2 linked regions of the Medicago truncatula genome follow. Each later gene encodes a partner of the first gene's protein in a complex. Links are inferred from orthologs where the notes say so. Each region holds a gene or a part of one and is shown on either strand. Other genes may lie near its edges.

Region 1 (7,905 bases):
TAAATAAAAAATAAATAAATAAAGACAGGCGGGCACCTAACGCTAATAGAAATACATTGATTACATAAGCTCTCACACGCAAGCTATGCAAGTAGATTAACTGAAATAAGTCAATTTAGTCCGTCCCTAAGTCAAACTATTTTCATAGAAGCTATAAGTTGTTTTCATAAGTTATTCTAGAGAGCCAGTGAAAATAAGCTGAAAACAGATGTCATAAGCCATTTTCATAAGCTCTGTGAAAGAGTCTCACAAGTGTTTATGCTAGTAAATAAGCTTAAATAACTCAATCTAAAATAGGTCCATAATCATATAGTAACAGTTACAAAATGTGAAATATAGAAAAGAAATCAAATTCAACTCACTCACAGTTCCCATAGATAATTAGAAGCTTCATGATTGCCACCGATGAAGATAGTAGGATAAGGAGCAACCTCCAAGCCAGAATAGTATTTCCAGAAGGAATTCATAGAGAGGAATTTGTCTGGTACGTTGAGGCTTTTCAAATCATTCTTGTTCCTCACGGCCTGAAAATCGCCGCAACAGAGAAGAAGATCGATTTTGGTGTTATTAGTTTTCTCGAGGTGTTGAAGGGTTTTGTAGACATTGTCTAAATCGCCATGCATGCATCCTTCTATTGCTATCTTCATCTTTTCTCAGTTCGATCGAAAAGCCTCACGCTAGGGTTTGGATGGGTTTTATCGGAGCAATAGTCTCGACTCTCGAAGATTCCTCTGCGTTCTCGTTTCGTTTCTGAACGGTTTTTTTTAGGTGAATTGTCGTTTTAGTCCTCTGCTATAATAAAATTTGAGCAAATAATCACTTTATAGTCCCTGATTCTGCAGCTCGCTGTTAGATAGGTCTCTGACTCAGGATTAAATACAAATAAGTTCCTAACTCTGCACTTCCGTTGTCACTTTAGTCCCGGATGTTAAAAAAATATGTTAAGTGATTATGATGATGTGGCGCATATGAGGTGTCACAGAGACCAAAGTGAAAGTAGAAAATGGTCACTTTGGTCCCTGAACCAAAAATCAATATTCCCAAATTGAATATCAAATCCCTAAATCTTAAATCCTTAAATATTATCTAATTATCTTTTTTTGCTCAAAATCAATCTTCCAAACACCAACCTACTGTTATGTTCCTGACTGTGCATACTTACTATCAGTTAGGTCCCTGACTATTAAGGATCTTTTTGGCTTGAAAGCTGATCTTGAGGCAATGATATGTTGGGCTAAGGTTTGGAGTTTTATATAGTAGTGTCATAGTGTTGTGGTTCTGTTACCTCTTTCTCCCTTTAGTATATTAATGGCATCAGGATTACATATATAGATAAATGAATTATGAAAAGTGTGTTTAATTATAATCTCTGTAAGTATTTTAAAGTTATAGCTTGATTTTTTATGTGTCTTTCAACAACAATATCAAATTTTTGGTGGAGAGATGTGAATAACTAATGCATAAATTCACTTGCTAAAATACACAGGCTTAAAGTTAATGACATTCAGATTTGTACAAGAAGGTGTTGATTCAATAGTATTAAATATCATATTCATGCTATTAAGTTACATTAAAGAACTTATGTTTTAGTTGCTTTAACTTCTCATGAAAGAAAAATTAAAGTGAGAAATTTGATAATAAACTTGGAAACATGAAAAGTACCTAGTAAGTAGAACAAATTTTGAGTTAGAAATTATGTTAAAAGAAATTCAATAGAAATGAATTATCATTTAAATATATCTTGAGCTCTTGATTATTGTATGCTCAGACCTACGGGTAGATATATGAATTATCATGTGAATATAACAATAATCAAGAGTAATAGATGCTAATGGATTTGCTAATTCATTGTCAGGGACCTAACTGATAGTAAGTATGCACAGTTAGGGACCTAACAATAAATTGTGTTTAATGGAAGATTAATTTGAACAAAATAGAGAATTAGATGACATTTAGGGATTTGAGATTTAAGTATTTAGGAATTTGATATTCAATTTAGGAATATTGATTTTTGGTTCATGGATCAAAGTGACCATTTTCTACTTTCACTTTAGTCCTTCTGACACCTCATATGCGCCACATCATCACTTAACAGATTTTTTTACGTCATGGACTAAAGTGATAACGGAAGTGCAGAGTCAGTGACCAAAATGACTATTTGCTCAATAAAATTTGTTTATCATTTAAATCTAAATTTTTGGAATTTGCAAACAGGTTTAGAACAACATAAAAATCTTGCTTATTTTAATTTTAATTTTTTTAAATATGAGATGAGATAAATTAAATATGATGTTCTAAACATGTTTATAAAAAAATTGTTCAAAAAATTTAGAGTTTAAGGTTTGTTAAACAAATTTTGTTTTATTAGGGACTAAATCTATGTACAAAAGTTTTTATAAGACTAAAAAAAACTATTAAAATTAGAAAAATATTAAAGAGTTTGTGAGGTTCTTAACCAATGTCCTTTGGACGCCGATTTACAAGACCCTTAAAATTAAATAAGGATTCAACTTAAAAAATTATCATTTTATAAGGACCAAACATATATTTAACTTTAAATTTAGTATGGATCTCATAATAAGAGGAATGACAATTTGACGTATGGTGGATTGATTAGTTTTAGAGATTCCCACGATGGTTTGGTACTTAAAGGTTTCGTTGCAAGCTTCAACATAACAATTCTCATTGTGTTGAGATGTGGGGTTTAATTCATGGGATGTGCATAGCTCACAATCTCCATCTTGCACATGTTATTTTTGAAATGGATTCTACATTTGTTGCGACCGCGGTTATTAATTGAACCACTTTTATTACCTACACTTGTTGCGACTGTGGTTCTCAAATTGGTTTGCTCTATAATTAGTGCATAGAATAGAACACTTGTTAGCAATACCCTAAAAAATAAAGAAAGTATTGCAAAAAACTTTTTCTTTGATTTATAGGTTTACTCCATAAAAATAATTAGAGTTTAACGGGAGTTGCACTCTTGGTGTAAAATAGTTTACTGTTACCTAAAGTTAGTCCACTGTATTTAGAGTATTTAGAGACTTAAAACAAATTTTATAGCAAAACTTAAAAAAAAATAAAAAAAAAATACACACATATTAATATGGAGGAATACATAAAAGAAAATTATTATGAATAACAACAAAGTAGAAATAACGTCAAAACACCATAGAGTAAACATCATAAGTAGATTGTCTGTTGCAGTGTTGTTGAATCTTTTCCTCCTTATTTATAACAAAATCATTTGAATGCAGTTATGCAAAATGTAATGAAAAAACATAAATGGCATCCTCAACAAGGATTCTCTAACATTAAAGCGAGAATGTTATTTGATTTTATTTTGGTCTCTCTCTCATCTCATCACTTATTCGACTTTTTTTGTTGGATGGATGGTTCGTCTAACACATCCATCAATATGAGGGTCGATTAAGAGAGAGAGGAGGTTCATGATTTAATCCAAGAGATGGCGTTGTTTGGGGTTAAGTCTACACCGACCCTAAATTAACTTTGAGGAGCAAATAACCACTCAAAATATTAGGGCCAAGTTGATGAGATAATGGGGGAGAAACTCTGATCCTCCCCTAGTAGTCTCATACCAAAACCTAACTCACCATTTACCCATGAAATATACAAAACATTGGTGGCCTAGTACCTGACACTTTCCTACTAGGTTTGACCTAAAGTTCACTAACAAGAACTTTTAAAAGAAAAATCACAATTGTTATTTTTTTATAAATGAGGTATTTTTTGTGCTAGCACTAATTAATTTAAGAGAAATGTTAACGAGTGTCTCCGAGGTACTCTTTAAAAACTTTTAATAGTAAGTTTTTATGAAAAATTGTGTAATCAATGCATTGAAATTTGTAACATTAGACTTTTTTAATGAATATTTTCTAAATTTAGGATCCTTAAAGAATGTCTTGGATGCACTAGTTAACAAGACCCTTTATTTAAATACAATCATACAAGAATATCAAAATACATTAACGTCATTCAATTTTTTTTTTAACTAACTCACATTTTTTTTTACTATAGATGACTATGTTCAAGCGGTCGTTAGATATTAAATATAAATGTTTATTCTAATGAATATTTCAAACACAATTAATGTTTGAATTGTGATTCCGAGTTTTGTGAAGATTATACCTCTGCTGCCAAGATTTTTTTGCGTGTTAATCCTTCGATTTATAAAAAAAAAGTTCATAGTAATTTGGACTTCAGTCAAAAGATAAGTATCATCTAACTAAAAAAATTCTCTCAAAATCAAATTTAGATTCTTCCTAAAAATTGACAAGGTACTTGACACACCACATTGTAGATAACACCAAAAATCACATGAGAATATGTGCACTCCTGTTGTGGAATCAATTTAGAGTCACATGACGTGAAGGAACATACTACATCCTTTATTTTGTATGAAAAAGAAAAACACATAACATATGGGTTTAAATAACAAACAATTATTCAGTAGGAGTATAGTCACAGTGTAGGACAAATTTATTTTGAAGATCCTAACCACACATCACATGTTACTTCCAATGGAATGCATCTATTTAGCCACGTTTGAAAATGAGCTTAAAAAATTCTACTGAGAGTTCAATTTGCTTCCTACATTTTACATCAAGAGTAGCGTTATGAGCACTCCTTTTTAAATCCACTCTCTTATTTAAAACTCAGACGAGTTCCACACTTTTTAAATCGATTCTTCCTAGCATTTCAATTCTTTACGTTAAACCTTTTATTAGTAACAGTGGACCACATTAGTGTTTTGTTTTTTTGACAAAAGTGGACCACGTTGGTTTTGTTATGGTTGTGTTTAGTCTCATATAGACACTATGAAACGACAATAGTTAACGAGAATTCATCCATGTTGCGTGTAATGGATTATGTGTCCAAATTTTCATTTTAAGGTAAAAGAATCAGCAATATTTTGTGTGGTTATGAATGTCACACGAGTCTTGCAACCACACACAACACTCACCTGAAAGTATCTCTTCTAATTCTTCTTTCTTTACCTCGATCAGTTTCTAGTACTGCTTCTTGATTTCACTCTATGGCGTTGGTAAATCCATTTCTTCTCCCTACCAAAACTCATTTTGCTTTGCCAGTTTCACCTCCACCATCCAAACAAATACTCCTTTGGACTAGCCCATCTTCCAGTTTCAGTTTCAATCTCAACAAAGGCTTGTCATCAAGCAGAAGAAAGCATGCAGGGTATCTCCCCGCCACGGCAGATGTCAAAACTGCATCAACTTTACTTGATGTGGAAGAAGATCAGAAAGTTCTAGTGGGACCTTCCAGTGAGCAAGAACGCAGGGGTGAGAGAGAACTTGCAGCTTATGATTGGAAAGAGGAATGGTACCCTTTGTACCTCACTAAGAATGTACCAGATGATGCACCGTTGGGTCTCACAGTATTTGACAAGAACCTTGTTTTGTTTAAAGATGGCAATGATCAGTTTCAATGCTATGAAGATCGGTGTCCTCACAGGTTGGTTTTAATTTATCTCGCTTCTAATTATTCTTATGATTGATTTTGCTTTCAACTTCTTTATGTGATCACATCCCATATGTAAGAATTCATAATTGATTTAACCAAAGTTGCATGCTATGTGATTAAATGAAAATAACATGATTATTGATGCAGATACAGCTCTTCTCAGTTAATACAGATTTTGTAGCTGTATACTGTGTATATACTTGGTGCTCCTAATGTTCGGGTTTATTTTTCTCTACCATGATGTGAAATCAAACTCAAGGATCAGAAACTAATCCAATGTGTTTGTCTGATAATGAGATCTATATTACTCTATTTAGGAATAAGATATTGGTATTAATAATGTTAGTGGATTGTTATGTTAGTTATTAATTATCTCTCTGTAATACCATATTTACAATACTGCTACTGCTGAGAAGAGGCTAGGGTATATTTAAACATTTGAGTATCACTGAAATTTATCAAAACAAATTTGATTCATTTAATATTTGTATCTTTCCTAGGACAGTCACTAAGTTCACCTAATGAATAATGATAGTATGTACCAATTTCAATTACTTACGAATTCCCCTGTGCTAGTTGTTTTCATAGGTGATAATGAACATTAATAAATATTCTCACGTTAACCGGCTAATTTTTTCAAAATTAAATCAAACCATCTACATTTGATTGGCAAGTAAGTATAAGAAATTATGATTTTTTATTCCTTTCACAATGCTGGACTGGATCTTATATTTTATATGATTCAGGTTAGCAAAACTATCTGAAGGCCAGTTGATTGATGGAAGGCTTGAATGCCTGTATCATGGATGGCAATTCGAAGGCGAAGGGAAATGTGTGAAGATACCTCAGGTAGGCTACTGACTTTAGAGTTCTACTCACCTATATCATGAATGTCCTTATATGGTTTGAGGCTAACAAGTAACAAGTAATAATAACTGTTTTCTCTGTTTTCAACAGCTTCCAGCTGATGCAAAAATTCCCAGGTCAGCCTGTGTTAAAACATATGAGGTGAGGGATTCTCAAGGTGTTATTTGGGTATGGATGTCACCAAAGGTACCTCCAAATGTCAGCAAAATACCTTGGTTTGAGAACTTTGCAAGGCCAGGGTTTCAAGATGTTTCAACAACTCATGAACTCCCATATGATCATTCTATTCTACTGGAAAACTTGATGGATCCTGCTCATATTCCAATCTCGCACGATAGAACAGATTGGACTGCAAAGAGAGAAGATGCACAACCGCTACTTTTTGAGGTGACAGAACGAACTGATAGAGGGTTTGCAGGTTGGTGGGGACGAGAGAAAGACGGCACTAAGCCTAACTTCTTACGGTTTGAGGCTCCTTGTGTTCTACAAAATAACAGGGAAATTGTAGATAAAAATGGTGAAATAAACTACTTCAGTGGTCTGTTCCTTTGTAGGCCAACTGGACAAGGGAAATCCATGCTGATAGTGAGGTTTGGAGGAACAAAAAGATCTCCAATAGTAAAACTGTTTCCTCAATGGTACTTCCATCAGAATGCAAGCAAGGTTTTTGAACAAGACATGGGATTCTTATCATCACAAAATGAAATTCTTTTGAAAGAGAAGGTTCCGACAAAGGAACTATACCTGAATTTAAAATCATCAGACACATGGGTTGCTGAATACCGTAAGTGGATGGATAAAGTGGGACACGGGATGCCATATCATTTTGGTCACAACACTATTTCCCTGCCCAAAGAGCCGGCTGTGATTGAACATGCGCCTGCTGGACTCATTGCAGGACTATCAGCTTCTTCACCTGCAAAGGGGGGCATTGGAACAATGCATGCTCCAAATTTAGCAAATAGATATTTTAGGCATGTAATACATTGCAAAGGATGTAGAACCGCCGTCAAAGCTTTTCAAACTTGGAAAAATGCCCTTTCGGCTGTGGTCGTTGCATTAGCTGCATTAGCAATTCTGGTTACTGGGAGACAATGGAAAGCCATCCTGTTGGCATCTGCAGCCCTGTGCTCTGTTGGAGTATATGCTTGTTCAACAGCTGTTGCATTGAATACAACAAATTTTATTAGGACACATAGGAGATTGTGAGCAACAAGTTGTAAAAAATCTCCCTTTTCAATATTACCCTTACAGCTTGTATAATGGTTTTTTATGACATCTAGTGTTGTCTCCATCTATGTAATTTAAGCCAAACAAGTAATAGAAGAAGAAAAAGTTTCTCAACAATGTGTTCAGGTGAAGAGTCACCGTCTGCTAGAAAAGCATACTGTCTATTATTTTATGTCCTTTTCAAAAACAAAACAAAATCTGTAGTAGTTTACTATACTTTATCCACAAAGAGGTCGAGAAGAAATTATATAATGATCATGCTTGAAAGAAAAAAGAAAGAAAACAATCAGTCCACAGAATTAC
Region 2 (7,593 bases), about 2.0 Mb from region 1:
TGTCTGCAAAGTGGACAAGGTTTCTGACTTCATTTTCATCAATGAAACCGTTGTGGTTGGCGTCTGCAAACTTGAAGTCTGTATCACAACTCCAAGATGCAAAGAGTCCTCTAGCAAGGCGCACAGCATGTCGCAGTTCCTCTTTGCTCATTCTTCCATCACCGTTTGTGTCAAACGCTGTCTTCAACCATAGTTTGAATTGCTCCACCGTCATCACACGCTTTCCATGATGACCATTGAACCCTTTGTGCTCCATGAACGCCATACCTGAAATTTGAGAAATTTGAAATATTCCCTATCAGTCACTAACTAGTGTTATATGTTTTGTTCGTGATTAGTTTTCAAGCTTGGATGTTGTATTTATATTGCCACATTTGCTTAGTTTCTTGCTTTGTTTAAGCACTAGTGCTGTTCATTAGGTTACAAACACATTCTTTTTACTTCGTTAGAAAAACACGTTAGAATATATTCGATCCTCTGTGGAAAAATTAGAAATGCATGTTGACTAAAATGGACTATACACAAACTTATAAAATTATCTCCTTTTGTGGTAATGTTTTTTTATGGAATCTCCTTTTGCGGTAATAGTGATGTTATTTGAACACAATTTTGACATGAACACTATATAAAGTATATTTTGGTTAAATCGACATAAATTTAGGAGTTAGTTGAAAACGAGGCTATATTGCTAACGCGTAAGCGGCCACATTTGCATGTTCTGAATAAATTTAATATGAGAATTTTCAAAAAATAACATGCCATAATATCTCCCCTACTTTTACTAAAATAGTCGGCCACTCTTTTTGAATCAAGCTTATTTACTGACTTCATCTTTCTCACTTTTTATTTTATTTTATATGCGGTTTACATGAATTACCAAAATATACAAACACACAAAGACACCGTATTTTTATCAATTTTCTATGTCCATTAACATATCTGATTGAAAAATAGGGAAGTGTAAATTTTACTAAATGTTACACTGTTACTGGTGGAAGATTTTTCTTCTTAAAAAAATAGAGATTAAACTGCATGCACGATGTTGTGCGGTGAGCCTTTTTCTTTTTGTATTAGTCTGATATTTAAACATAAAAACCACCGTCTTTATTTATTCTCCTTGGTAGGTCTGCATACACCAATAGCAACTAATAATAAAAATATCCGCGCTTATCCTTCATCTAGTATAGATCAAGAATCTGGAATTTATCAACAGCAAAAAATAGTATGATCTATTTCCAATAGACATGTGTTGGAAAAAGATGAGAAGTGTTATTAAATTTAAAGGTGGGTTGTTACATTTTTTTTTTGGTACATGGTTGTTAGATTATTTAATAAGTATGAGAAAGTATAACTAAATCATTTCATTGTAATAAACCATTTAATATAATGAATATTAATAAAGAGATACAAACTAGTAGTTATAGATATAGCCATTAATTGGATTTGGCCATTAATAAAGATATAGCCATCATGTAATAAACCATTGTGTTACAGGAATATATTCAACAAAATCAGCTTATCACACTCTTTTGAATCGCTTCCATGATGTTGAAAACAACCACAACTTTAATTGGATTTGGAAACTCAAGGTATCTTCCAATATTCAATTTTTTATGTGGCAAATTTGCCTTAGTTCTCTACCAACAAAGTCAATTCTTGTATCTCGTCATATAGCTCCATCAGCGACTTGTCCTATTTGTAATGCATCAGAAGAGGCTATGATCCATTGTCTTTTGACTTGTACAATAGCTAAAGAGGTTTGGAAGAAGTGCTTCAATACTTCTCTTATTCCACCTGCGGATGACAGCTCCTTAGGTTCTTGGGTGGAGAATTGTTTTAAAAATCATGGAATTTTCCCACTTTTAATCATGTGGAAGTGTTGGTGTGCCAGAAATAAGTTCATTTTTGATGGCATAAAGACACCATTCTTTATAATTGTAGCAGAGTGTAATGCTCTTTACATGCACACTGTCAAGGCATTTGGAATTGGGGGCACATGTGCTCGTGGAAGTGAGGTTGCACGTGAGGTTTGTTGGAAGAGACCGGATACTGGATGGATTGCTTTGAATGTTGATGGGAGCGCTCTCACTAACCCAGGTGCAGCGGGCTTTGGAGGCATCATTCGAAATCATGAAGGTCGATTGATGCTTGGGCTTAGTGGATCTGTTGGTTGGTCTAATATCTTGTATGCCGAGTTGATGGGTTTGCTTAAAGGTATGTTGTTGTGTTGGGAAGAAGGGTACCGGAAAGTTCAATGTTTTACTGATTCCTTGAAAACTATTAGACTCATTAATGAGGCAAACACATTATATCATCTTTATGGTAATGAGGTTGCTTTGTTGCGTAAGCTGCTGCAACGTAATTGGCAGGTGCATATATCTCACATCTACCGCGAAGGTAATTCTTGTGCGGACTGGTTTGTGAAGACGGGTGCTAGAAACAATGTCGACCTCACAGTTTGTAGAAACCCCCCTACAGATTTAGGCCCCTTTTTAATTGCTGATGCTAATGGTACTCGGTTTGTGAGACCTTAGTTTTTTTTTTCTTCCTTTTTTCTTTGTAACCAAAAAAGATATAGCCATTAAGTTAAGGCATAAGCAACTTTATTGATTTACCTTAAAATAAACATCAATCTTAAGAGTTTTCCAACAAATAAGAAAAATCAAGCCTACAAGTTGAACCAAATATATGAGATGTCATTTTGATCGAATGTGAAAAACATCCGCATCTCTTTTACATCAATATTTCGATGTGTGGAACAAAATTAGCAACAATAAGTTATTAAAGTAACCAAACAACCACATACAATAAAATAAGATAAAAGGAGGAGGAAGAAGAGGAGAAGAAGACAACAATATTTGTTTATCCAATTCGGTCCAAATCGATATATGTTTGGAGGAGATAATTGTTCTCCAATCCACCATCAAAGAGTTTCTTACAAAGAGATACATGGGCTCCCCGACCTTAGAATTTCTCCCCAATAGACACTAATGTTTAGTCAATTGATTCTCTAAAGGTTCCCTCTTTTGTACTCTCTAAGCTTGTCTTTTTTCACACTCTTAAACCCTAAACAAGAGGTCATATTTATAAGATGTGTTCAACCCTTAAAACTTGCCAAATACAAAAAAAAAAAAAAAAAAAAAAAAAACGTGTACATGTGCTCCACAGATGGAGCATTGTGCCCCGAGCAGTAGCAAGAAGACTATTGCAAAGCACATCCATGTGCCCAACGTATCCTTTTTCTATGTGCCCCATGCATGAGGTAGTAGCACATAGTCTTCGTGAAACACAATTTCAAGGCATATTGAACAATTATCCACATTGCTCTTAAATTGATGGTGATGCCACTTTAACCATCAACCACCTTGTTGTTTGCCCTTGCTTCCAACTACACATGTATTCTCATAAGATTTCATATTTACCTCTTGAACCCTCAGAATTACTTCCAGTCTCTTTATGGCCCTTGGATCCTACTACACTAGGCATTTTAGGTAGTTCCACAAGTTTTATCATAGCCTTTCAACCTTTGGAGTGATTATTTACGTCTTCTTGAAGATTTCCTTGCTCTTAATTGTTTCTATAAAGCTACTTGGTTTCGAGTCTTGCATCTCCTCAGCCACAATTAAAGCATAACACACAAGAATTCCACAGTCATACTACTTTGGTACAACAATATCCCTCATTTTCGTTGTCTTCAAGACACAAGACATTCACACTCTTGGCCTTGTCCCAATCTCGATTTGGTCTGCTTGTGATATGGTGGTCAACAAATGCACCATCACCCTTCAATGCCTATGTACACTATTGTTGAGTCAAGACTACTTGTATCCTCACCTTCAACAACTTGAAATCGTTGTCTTCAACAATTTTCTCAATATCCCACTTTATACTCATGGTGCTAGAGTAACGATTTGTAAAACTAGAGGGATTAATTTACAAATTTTGAAAAACTATACAGATGAATTTTCATGACTAATTTAATCTTTTTTAAAATTTATAGAGGCCAAATTGCAATTTATAAAAAATAATTAGGGAACAATTTGCAAATATTAATTGAAAATTCAAATGTTTAAATCAAATTCATTTCGTTTATATTTTTTTATCTGGTTCATGCACCGGCAAAAAATGAACTACTATAAAATAACCAATGAACTAGTCCAAATACTAAGCGATTTGAGTCTTTTACACATATGATCAAAAGTTCAATTACCACCAACTCGAAATTGCAACTTTCGTCAAAATACTCCCTCAATTTTGCGAAACTTCAAAACCTCCAGTATTTTGTCAAATGTGTCTATCGATTTTGCATGTCATAGAGAGTAATGGCAAAATCAGAGAAGAGTGCAACATACGTCTGACAAAATCAAGGAGGTTTTTGAAGTTTCGCAAAATCGAGAAAGATTTTCCACAAAAGTTACAATTTCGGAGAAGAAATGATTGACAATTCACTCAAAGTTCAATTTCAGAAGAGATAATTGACAATTTCGACAAAGGATTTGACGAATGTTAAATCAAACCTATGAACTCATCTTATACATCAATTGTTTCTCAAGGAAGATTAACCACTCGACTCTAATTCACTATTGGGCCAAAACAAACTAGACGCTTAACCCACAATTTTGACAAAATCCGAGTTTGTAGTTTATCCACGATTAGAACTTAGAAGTTAGTAGAAGAAACAAAAATGGAGTCACAAGGACAGTGGAATCCGCTTCTATCATTTTCGCGGTTCATCCATCAAAACTGTAACCACCTTGCAACTCGTTTCGAAGACACAAGAAAATTCGCTGGAACCCTAATTCAATCTCACACTCGCACCAAACCGGCTTTCGCCGCTACTTTAACTTCCAACCACGTCGCCAAATCTCTCGCCGGAACCTCCGTTTACACCGTCAGTAGTTCCAACAATGAATTCGTACTTATGTCTGATGCTGAAGGTGCTAAGTCCATCGGATTGCTTTGCTTTCGCCAAGAAGACGCTGAAGCTTTCCTTGCTCAGGTAAGTTCCTCTCTCAGTAATTTGTTCATTTTTTATTTTCTTGATTTCATGCTGTTAATGATTTTTTTGTTCGTTGTTTTAGGTTCGATCAAGGAAAAATGAATTTCGAGGCAATGCTAAGGTTGTTCCAATAACTCTTGAACAGGTAGTTATTTTTCCATTTCATAATTATCTCCTGCTAATCCTGGTTTTATCACATTTTGTTGATGTGAAAATGAAACCATCCTGTGTTTCGTACTCGAATGCTTTTAATTCACTAAGGGCTTATTTGAGCTTATTTAGTGGCATAAATTTTGTGAAACCGTTTGGGAGAACTTATGAAAACAACTTATGACATTTTTCATAAGTTTTGTTCAGCTTATTTCATAAGTTGTCCAAGATAGTTTATGAAAACAGTTTATAGCATAAACAAAAACAATTTAACTTAGTAATCCAAATAAAATAAAATAAAACAATTTAACTTTATTTTATCTCTTGCTATAGAAATAGCTTATATAAGCTGATACATAAGCGCTTATCATGATAAGTGTTTGTACTATAAGGTGCAAATAAGTTTTTTTTTTATCCAAAAGGGCCTAATTCATGTATCAATGGCACTCAATGAAATTATGGTTTGGCTTCTATCATATTGAGAGTCAAAGTAATTAATTAATTATGTTGGAAACAATTCATTGTTAAAAACCTTCAAGACTTTTAAGAATCAGTTGTAAATGAAATGATTCTACGTGATTTTCCCCCTTTGAATTCGTATCAATACGGGCTATGTTACTATCAGCATTTAGAACCATGTGCTACTGACATAGCACCTACAACCATGAATGTCACACCTTTCCTTTTAATAAAGGGTAAGGGGGAACCTGCTATCAGATACTTTTTGAAGCATAATAAGTATGGTTTTTATCCTGTATCTGTAACAACTTTTCTGCCTGCGTTATAGGTATACTTGTTGAAGGTTGAAGGTATTGCATTCCGATTTTTACCCGATCCACTTCAAATAAGGAATGCACTAGAGGTTAGTTCCAGTTATAATTGTTGCACACAACATATTACTTAAAAGCCAAACTAGTATTTTCATCATCTGAGTCCTATACCAGTGTCACTATGGAATGAGTTAAGTCTTATCAGTTTTAAATGTAAATCATGGAGGAAAATAAGCTTCAGTAATATGCATGATAGCTGCGGTGTGGGAATTCTGTGACTGAACAGGTAGCATATATGTTCAAGTGCTGAACTGTTGGATTGTGTTTAATTTCATTTTCGTTGTGTTTATCAGCTCAGAGCCGCCAACAAGGAAGGTTTTGATGGAGTTCCTGTTTTTCAGGTATGTTTTCTTACTTTGGCAGTCTCCAGTCCTTCAGAGGACTGATTGGGCAATGGTGAGGGTGTGGGCAGGAGATACAGATTGACATGTGTTTGTCGTTTCGTTAATGTATATATCAGTAGCTATAAGTGTGGAATTCATAATATTTTATTTTCACTGAACTTACTGCCAAGTAATTAACTGCAGCCAATGCATGGTACGGAACATATAAATTCCAAGACTGGCAAACAGCTTAAAAACCATCGAACTATTTTAGTATCTGCCCATCTGGAGTCTAATTTAAATATTTGAAAAATATTGGTAGTAATTGATCATGTTAATTTTTAACCTATTGACTAATAATCACATTTGCTTACAGTCAGAACTTTTGGTTGTGAAGAAGAAGAATAAACGTTATTGCCCTGTATATTTCTCTAAGGTTTGTCTAACCCATTGGTCTCTTTAATTGCAATTCTGGTCCCTCTCTTATGGTCAATATGCAATTTTGTCCCTCTATTTTTAATTTAGAAATTTTGTCCCTCGATATTTTTAATTACACAATTTTGGTTCCTCAGTCAAGTTGTCATCCAATTTTTAACTATGATGATGATGTGGCGGTCAAATACGTGACATTGAATATGTGAAATTGACATGGCTATAGAGTGCTTATATGGTGTTACATGTCTGCTGTACACATATGATGCTTATATGGCTATATAAACAATTTATTTTTATTTTTTTTTAGCAAAGTAGAATGCTTAGGACCCGAATTCACACCTAGGCTTTTAAACTAACATTCTTAACCACTACACCAACTCAACGGGCTACCGTAATATAGCAAGTATGAATGTGTGTGTAATACAAACAACACTTGGTGGCCGTGTTAGCTTCACACGTTCAATGTCATGTCAGCATTTGACTGTTGCATCATCTTCATTGTTAAACATTTAGGGACAACTTGATTAATGGGCTCAAATTGAGAAATGAAAAATAGGATGAACCTTAATTGCAGATTGGCAATAAGAGAGGGACCATAAGTGCAATTAACCCCAAATCATAGTTAGGCATGTAGCTTGATGGAATATAATCATATGATAGTTTTCGTTTGTTGTTTAAATGGACAGGAAGATATTGAACAAGAACTATCTAAGGTTTCCAGGGTATCTAAAGGTCCTGGAGTTTCCAAGCAAATAATGGTATAGAATCTCTCATCTCTTGCTCTTGTTTTTGTTAGTCTGTCAGAAACTTGTTACTCTGTATGAAACTATATGACCTTGAAAACAATTATGGTGAA

Evidence for each region.
Region 2: protein TIC 55, chloroplastic (region 1) and protein TIC 22, chloroplastic share a complex: the UniProt entries of both Arabidopsis thaliana proteins name them as parts of the tic complex. The link is inferred for Medicago truncatula from reciprocal best matches to the Arabidopsis thaliana genes TIC55-II and Tic22-IV.

What each region holds. Positions count from the first base shown.
Region 1 is NC_053044.1:52,260,719-52,268,623, forward strand, and holds protein TIC 55, chloroplastic, read left to right. Parts: upstream 1-4,885; 5' UTR 4,886-5,059; coding exon 5,060-5,496; intron 5,497-6,251; coding exon 6,252-6,354; intron 6,355-6,462; coding exon 6,463-7,581; 3' UTR 7,582-7,733; downstream 7,734-7,905. Other genes in the region: lariat debranching enzyme, read right to left, coding at 367-647. UniProt on the Arabidopsis thaliana protein: Involved in protein precursor import into chloroplasts. Part of the redox regulon consisting of TIC32, TIC 55 and TIC62.
Region 2 is NC_053044.1:50,225,652-50,233,244, forward strand, and holds the start of protein TIC 22, chloroplastic, read left to right. Parts: upstream 1-4,568; 5' UTR 4,569-4,684; coding exon 4,685-4,999; intron 5,000-5,081; coding exon 5,082-5,144; intron 5,145-5,936; coding exon 5,937-6,011; intron 6,012-6,272; coding exon 6,273-6,320; intron 6,321-6,678; coding exon 6,679-6,738; intron 6,739-7,423; coding exon 7,424-7,495; intron 7,496-7,593. UniProt on the Arabidopsis thaliana protein: Involved in protein precursor import into chloroplasts. Imported into the intermembrane space via the Toc translocon. May be involved in the import pathway used by proteins without a cleavable N-terminal pre-sequence.